Sus scrofa: one gene and its partner. Each later gene encodes a partner of the first gene's protein in a complex. Links are inferred from orthologs where the notes say so. Each region holds a gene or a part of one and is shown on either strand. Other genes may lie near its edges. The genes, in order: CCND1 and AMBRA1.

The links.
Region 2: the proteins of CCND1 (region 1) and AMBRA1 are in contact, whole or in part, in a cryo-EM structure (PDB 9IVD), measured with the Homo sapiens proteins. The link is inferred for Sus scrofa from reciprocal best matches to the Homo sapiens genes CCND1 and AMBRA1. Residues at the interface, in NP_444284.1 of Homo sapiens: Thr286, Pro287, Thr288, Asp289, Val290, Arg291, Val293, Asp294, Ile295; in NP_001354397.1 of Homo sapiens: Arg54, Ser55, Phe57, Val73, His75, Arg96, Thr97, Trp99, Leu116, Ala139, Arg184, Ile945, Asn1012, Asn1029.

The regions. Positions count from the first base shown.
Region 1 is NC_010444.4:3,623,169-3,626,974, reverse strand, and holds part of CCND1 (G1/S-specific cyclin-D1), read left to right. Parts: intron 1-5; coding exon 6-154; intron 155-2,421; coding exon 2,422-2,586; 3' UTR 2,587-3,806. UniProt on the Homo sapiens protein: Regulatory component of the cyclin D1-CDK4 (DC) complex that phosphorylates and inhibits members of the retinoblastoma (RB) protein family including RB1 and regulates the cell-cycle during G(1)/S transition.
Region 2 is NC_010444.4:16,116,361-16,119,781, forward strand, and holds the end of AMBRA1 (activating molecule in BECN1-regulated autophagy protein 1), read left to right. Parts: intron 1-1,137; coding exon 1,138-1,625; 3' UTR 1,626-2,722; downstream 2,723-3,421. UniProt on the Homo sapiens protein: Substrate-recognition component of a DCX (DDB1-CUL4-X-box) E3 ubiquitin-protein ligase complex involved in cell cycle control and autophagy.

The DNA of each region.
Region 1 (3,806 bases):
CGCAGACGTGAAGTTCATTTCCAACCCGCCCTCCATGGTGGCCGCCGGGAGCGTGGTGGCGGCCGTGCAAGGTCTGCACCTGGGAAGTTCCAACAGCTTCCTGTCCTACCACCGCCTGACGCGGTTCCTCTCCAGGGTGATCAGGTGTGACCCGGTAAGTGACCGCGCTCCTGCGTCTAGATGCTTCTAGAGCCGAGCTGCCATCGGCCGGCGGGAAATGATGGGCTGGGGCCACCTGGGGGACTGTCCGGACCGCCTGCGTTCAGAGGCCCTGGCCCTGGCCGGGGGGGCAGCTCCCCCCTTTACTCTCCCGTTGGAAGGAGAAGCACCTCAGAGCTTGCTGATGGGCTGGAGGGTCCTCCCAGGCCTCTGTGTCCCCCGGACTCCTGGGAACTTCAGCCCCTCCCTGGGGGGCCAGCTGAGAAGAGGGGCCACAGGCAGGCCGAGTCAGTGATCCGTGCCCGAATGGGGGGTGGGGTGGGGCCCGCTGGAGCTTTGTCCCGGCGACAATGTGGACGCCCGATAAATGGCCGCTTTACAAGGGCCCCTGTGAGGTCCAGCGTCCACAGTGGGTCCCGTACAGACCACTCGTTTCTATGGCCCCTCGTTGACAGGCTGCTGCTCCTGAAGCTGGAGTCGATTGTATCTTTCTTCTTACAATTGTCATTGTCTTCTTCTCGACTCTTGCCTGTAAAGAAAGAATTAAAATAACAATTGCAAGGGTTTGTGGCCTTCACCAAATTAGACCGGCGAGGTTGAGGGGTCATCAGCCCCCCTGGTGTGGGAGTGACCGCCTTGACCCCGGCCCGGGTCGGGCTTGGGCCCGCGCTGCTTTTTGGTGGTCTGCCTTCCGGCGGTCGGGAGCCTCAGAAGGAAAGAGAGGGTGGGTGACGGACGCCTGCATGACCCCCCAAAGGGGGAAGGTTCTGGTGCACAGGCACGGGCAGCTCTGGGCTCAGGGAGTGGAGCGTCCCTGCCTGGCTGCTGGGGGTCATCCCCCAACTGGAAAGACCACAGGGGACCGTCAATCTCCACGTGATCCCTTGGGGGTAAAGGTGGGTGTGATGAGATTTGAAATAAAACGCCTCTCAGCTGAGGGATGGGTTTAATCCGTGGAGGTAGAAATCCCATCAGGCTGGTGACCAGGTGACAACCGTAGCTGAGCTCAGATGCAGGAAAGCCTGGGCAGCAGTGGCTCCGGGTCATGGCCGAGCAGCTGCTCCCCCCTCCCGCCCGTGGCTGCTGCCCACTCCTCTCAGGAGGGCCAAGAGGAGGGGGGACGTGCCCGGCCCTGCGGGGAGGGAAGGCCGTCCTGCGCGCCCCCCCCCCCCCCCCCCCCGCTCTCTACTCTGCCATCAGCCCTCCCCGCACTCCGGGGGCCAGTGAGCCAGGGCCCCTGGAGCCACCTGCAGACGCTGGTGCATTTGTTGGGTGGGGGCTCTCAGGTCTCCGGATTGGAACCGAGGCCATGCTGGATGTTTGATCCGAGCCCCAGCGGGGGGAGGACAGCAGGAGTCCTGGGTTCCACTTGGGACCTTCTGGGCCTCAGTTTCCTCCTCTGTGAAATGGGGTCATGTGCACCGTCACTGCCTTCTCATCTGCCACGGTGAATATTGGGAAGGTGGGGAGGAACCCCCCGTAAGGCATGGCGCTCTGCACCCATGGGAGACACCCCGGGATCCACCCAGAAGCCCTGCCGGCTGGGCTTCACTCCTTTGGGGCGGATCCCCCCACCTCCTTGTTCCTGTGGGAGAGGCTGCCCTGGAGACTTTACCTGGCTCTGGACTATTCTAAGCTCCGGTGTGGCTTCCCGGGAGTTGAGGGGGCCTCTCTTCAGACGTGGGAACCTTGGCCGCCCGACAGCAAGGGGCACCTTTGAGCTGCTGGGAGCTTTGGGGACCAGGAGAGGGCCCTAGACTTGGGTTCCTCCTCTCCGTCGAACGCATGGGGCGGGCACTGCGGGAGGACGTCTGCAGCGGTGGCGGGAGAGGAGGGGGATAAAGGGTCCCCGGGGCCACCCAGCACTCATCCTGGGTCACGCGCGCCATTCATCACAGAAGGCTGGGTTCGCCACGAGGGCTGACACGGCAGAGGTGAAGGGTCTCCCCGCCCTGGATCAGATGGTGCTGGACTGGCTGAAGGCAGCAGTGCGGTGGTGGGCCCTGGGGCCAGAGATCAGAGCCCCAGGGAGGGGTTCCAGCCAGGGGTCTGGCCCCGCTGGGGACTCCAGGCGGCAAGGCAGGTGGGCGGGCAGGCTGGGTCCTGAGCAGACTCGCCACCTAACGCCTGGGCTCCTGGGGGCCGATCGGGGGTGCACGCTGTTGATCCTGGGCTCCGGGCAACGGCCCCCCTGGTTGGGGGAGGCCTCATTTTCTGTTAGCATCCGGGGACCCTCTGAGCATCCCACCCCGTCTTGCCCAGGACTGCCTCCGCGCCTGCCAGGAGCAGATCGAAGCCCTTCTGGAATCCAGCCTGCGCCAGGCCCAGCAGCAGACCTTGGACCCCAAGGCCGCGGAGGAGGAGGAGGAAGAGGAGGAGGTGGACCTGGCCTGCACGCCCACCGATGTTCGCGACGTGAACATTTGAGGCGCCGCAGCCAGGGAGGGGCCGGCCCGCGCTCCCCAGACGGAGCCGCTCAGGCCCGGCCACCCCCGGGGGAGAGGCCCGCCCCTCACCACTGGCGTTCCCCTCTGCTCTGTCTCCCTCCCACCTCTGACTTAAGCGAAAGGCAAAAAAAAAAAAAAAAAAAAAAAAGTACCTGAAAACCTGTCTTTAAAAAACAACAACGACAACAGAAAAAGCGAGGAAAAAAATAGTATTTGCATGACCCTGAGCTGGCGGGGGAGGTGGGTCATGCTGCAGAAATAGAGGATTTTATACCCCATAATCAACTAGTTTTTCTATTAATGTGCTTGTGTCTGTTGTAAGAGTAGAATTAAGATGAGCAAGTGTGCGGGGAGGGTTAGATGTGATTTCTTTCCGTGTTGAAAACAAACAAAAAAAGCATAAACATGTTTTTAAAGAATAGAAAAAAAGCCCACCACCCGTTTGTAAAGTAGAAGAGGGTTTTAGCTAGAGAAACATACCTGTGTGCTTTTTTCCCAAGCACGGCTTTAAAGCAGTCCTAGGCATCCTGTGTCTTGCTTATGCATGTAGTCACTTTATAAGTCATTTGTGCGTGTTTATTTTATTTCGTAGGTAGGCGTGTGACCTTCACCTTATCGGTGGCCGATGTCACCTCTGTCTAGAGTAGCGCAGGCTTCGGCATCGTCCGATGCTGAAAGAGGCTCGTCGTCCTCTTTCTGCCTGCGCACCGGCCACCTGAGCGGTTTGTCGGGCGCCAGCCAGCGTAGCAGGGACGGAAAAGCCACCTCCGACTCCGCGCCCACCGCAATAGTGACCTAATATATTCTATTTTTATAATCTTCCTATTTTTGTAGTTACTTGTTCACGAGATGCTGGTTTTTCACCCAACAGACCTGCAGCTCACATCCAGGTGAAACCCACAGCTGGTTGGTTTTTGTGGTTGTTTTTCTGTTTTGTTTTGTTTTGTTTGTTTTTGGTTTTCCTCAATATTCCAGAACCATTCCATTTCAAAGCACTTTTGGTCCCGTAGTTCTAGGGGCTGTCTCTCTGTTTATGTTGTGTGTGGAGGCGGGTGGGGAGCGATTTCCTAGTGGAATGGTTTGGGAATATTGCCGTGCTTGTGTGTGCACAGCGGATTGCAAGGCAGGTGCATGTTCGTGAAGTGGGGGGAAGCGAGCTGTTTTTGAAGGCGAGGTTCCAGTCAAGAAGCAGGACGTGTG
Region 2 (3,421 bases), about 12 Mb from region 1:
TCAGAACCCACCAAACTGCAGAATCCCGAGTGGCCAACGAGTAGCCACAGGAAACAAACCTGTAGTTTGGTAGAGCAGCCCTGGCAGCCCAGGAGCTGTGACTGTAGCCGCCCACAGGCTTGGACCGCTTCTCTGCCCCATCAGGGCTGAGCGCAGGCTGGAGGAATCTTCCTCAGGGTAGAGCTCCTGCTGAGTCCAGGCCATTCACAGCAGCCACCACCAACTGAATGCCCGCTCTGCACCAGGTCCTGGGTGAGCAGGATCTCATTCCCTCTGCCTGGCACCTTGCAGGCGGGATGTTTTGCAGATCAGGAAACTGAGGGATGTGGATGGCGAGGGACTTGTCCAGGGTCATGCAGCTAGTGAGCGAGAACTGAGATCTGAGCCAGAGCCTCATCTGCTCACATGGAAGGGAGTGCTCAGGCCCCTGGAGAAGGAGCACGACCTTCCCTCTTGCCCCCTAGAGACGTGGGCTGAAGCCTCAGGCTGGTGCAGTTGACTGCCTCTCGAGAAAGATAAGGGTTATCAGACCTCCAGCCCCAGGAGGACAATATGTGGGAAATAACTTGGGGAAGGTGGTGGGTAAAGCAAGATAATCAACGCCTTCCAGAAAACAGTTGCAAATCTTCCTCGTGTGATATAAACAGAACAGCAAAGAGGAGAGACCACAGAGCTTTGAAGTGGAGCAGAGCAGACCTTTGCTTTCAGGCCACACTGCATATGATGCCCTGGCTTTCCAAAGACCAAGCAGCAGGCCCTGTCCTAGGGCCAGATCTATCAGTTTATCCATCCGGGCTGCCTCCTCAGCCACCTCCATGAAATGTGTGACCAGCCTGCCACTGGTGCCCAGAGGGTTAAAGTCGGACTCCTGGCTTCTGGTCCTGCCCCACCTCTTAACTGAGCAGCCTGGGCCAGCAAGGCCTCGGTTTCCCTAGCAGTCAAACAGAAGTATGAATTATGGGCATCTGGGGAGTCTGATCTAGCCTTCAAGCCTCTGATTGACTCTCAGAATGAAGGACTGGCCGGCCTCTTGGTTCTGCTTTTAGCTAGAATCCCCCAGCTCCCACTAGCAGTTGTCTGCCTGACACAGAGGCCTGGGCCAGCAGCTAATTCCCTCTCCTGCTTTGTGCCCTCCAGGGGAGGGCTCAGAGCTCGGTGCCAGTGGGGAAGACGCGCTCAGCAGGATCCAGCGGCTGATGGCGGAGGGGGGCATGACAGCCGTGGTGCAGCGAGAGCAGAGCACCACCATGGCCTCCATGGGCGGCTTCGGCAACAACATCATCGTCAGCCACCGCATCCACCGCAGCTCCCAGACGGGCACCGAGCCCGGGGCCGCGCGTACCTCCTCGCCCCAGCCCTCCACCTCTCGGGGACTGCTTCCGGAAGCTGGGCAGCTGGCTGAGCGAGGCCTGAGCCCCCGGACAGCCTCCTGGGACCAGCCGGGTACCCCTGGGCGGGAGCCACCCCTGCCCCCCTCCTCCCCTGTCCCTCCTCCTGCGCCCCTTCCCAGCACTGAGGGACCAACCCTGCACTGCGACCTGACCAGTAACAGCCACCTTCTTGACAGCGGGGGCAGCAGCAGGGGGGAGGCTGCGGGCCCCAGTGGGGAGCCACGGAACAGGTAGAGACGTGTGCACTGGTGCCTCCCCTCGAACCGCTGAGCAGAAACCGGACCTCACAGCTGACTGGGAACTGGACTCGCGGAGGAGCCGCAGGCTGCGTCAGGAAACAGGAGCAAGAGGGTGGGGGGTCGACAGGGAGTCCAGGTCAGCAGGCATGAGGCAGTCGAATGGGCAAGGCTTGCCTCCAGAGACTAGAACCTTCCAGGATCTGGAGCCCAGGGGAGCCACACACTGCTGTGCTCGGGGTGAGTGCAGGAGAAAGTAGGTATCCCTGCCATGAACCGCCCCCCTCCTTTCTCCTAGAAACATGGCTCAAGGGACCGGGCACTGGGCAGAGAGCCCCCAGAAGGGCAAACAGTCTTCCAGATCTGGGCCAAACCATCCTGACAGTGGCCCCTGGGGCAGCTTCGCCCTGTTCACCTGTCGTGTGGGCAGAGCCACTAGGAGCCCAGGAGCAGGAGGAGCAGCCTAGCCCCCAGAAACCACCTCCATTTCTGAGCCTTCCAGAGCTTCAGCCTCTCTATAATCATCCTACCCCACAGAGACCACAGTCAGGGGTCAGGCCAGGCTCCGGGATTCCTGAGGACAGGGGCTTCCAGCACTTACTGGTGGGGAACAGCCATGCAGTGGAGGGGGCAACCTGCTTGCCTGATACAGGATGGGGTCAAGGGACGGTGGGCAGGTCCTCACTCAGGAGGTGGGGGGTAGGCTGGCCAGCCCCCAGGGCTTGTCTGCCAAGCTCCTCCTTCCCCACCCCACCACCTCCCCAAAGGCTCTCAGAGCAGCAACTGTGGGTGTCAGTATTACCTGAGCCTAGGCCAAAGCCAGCCCAAGGCTGGGGGAGGGGATGAGACTCCAGGTCAGAATGTGAGGTCTTGGTCTGTGATTTAAGGTGTTGCATGTGGAATCTTGAACTGTATGTGTAGTTTCTAGTGGAGAAATCAAGGCTCTGATTATTTTGTTTTTAGTATGAAAACGTGATTTCTTTTCTGTTTGTAACTCATCATAGAAACATTGTGGTGGGAGGAGAGGGGATAGTCTGACTGCAAATGAGGGAAACACCAAAGATCTACATCATTAAAATGATGATATGCCCCTCACCACGCTCCTCTCTCTTTGTTTCCATGGGGGGTGGAGGAGGGGGTGGTGATTGAAGGGGAGACACTGGGATCACTGAACTGAGCCACCCTGGTTCTTCCAGCCCTGTGGTGCCCCAGCAGAAGCCACTCAGGTAAGGGCTGCCACCTGTTTCATGCTCCATCTCTGTGTACCACCACCTCCTGCTTCCCGGGGGCCTGCTACGGATTGGGCAGCCTTCACAGCAGTGAGGGGTGGGTGGGGGGTTAGGTGAGAACGAGATTACTCATCTTGATTGCTTCCTACCCAGGATGATGGGCCTGGGATGAAGATGTAACTGGCCAGAAAGTTGGCTCCCCTCCAGTTCTGGGACAGCACCCATTAATGGGTGTCTGGGTTGGCCGGCAGGGAGCTTGGTCTTACCTGTAGGCATCCCCCTAAGACACCATTTGGTGCTTAGGTTTCCCTTCGTGTCCTCGGTACAGTGAGTACGGGACCTGCCTTGGCCATTTAGTTTAAAGCCAGTTAGAAAGCGGGAGAAAGGGATTTCGCATCGTGGCTCAGCAGTAATGAACCCGACTAGTATCCATGAGGACATGGGTTCAATTCCTGACCTCACCAAGTGGGTTAAGGATCTGGCTGTGAGCTGTGGTGTAGGCTGCAGACAGCATTGCTGTGGTTGTGGTGTAGGCCAGCAGCTACAGCTCCAATTTGACCCCTAG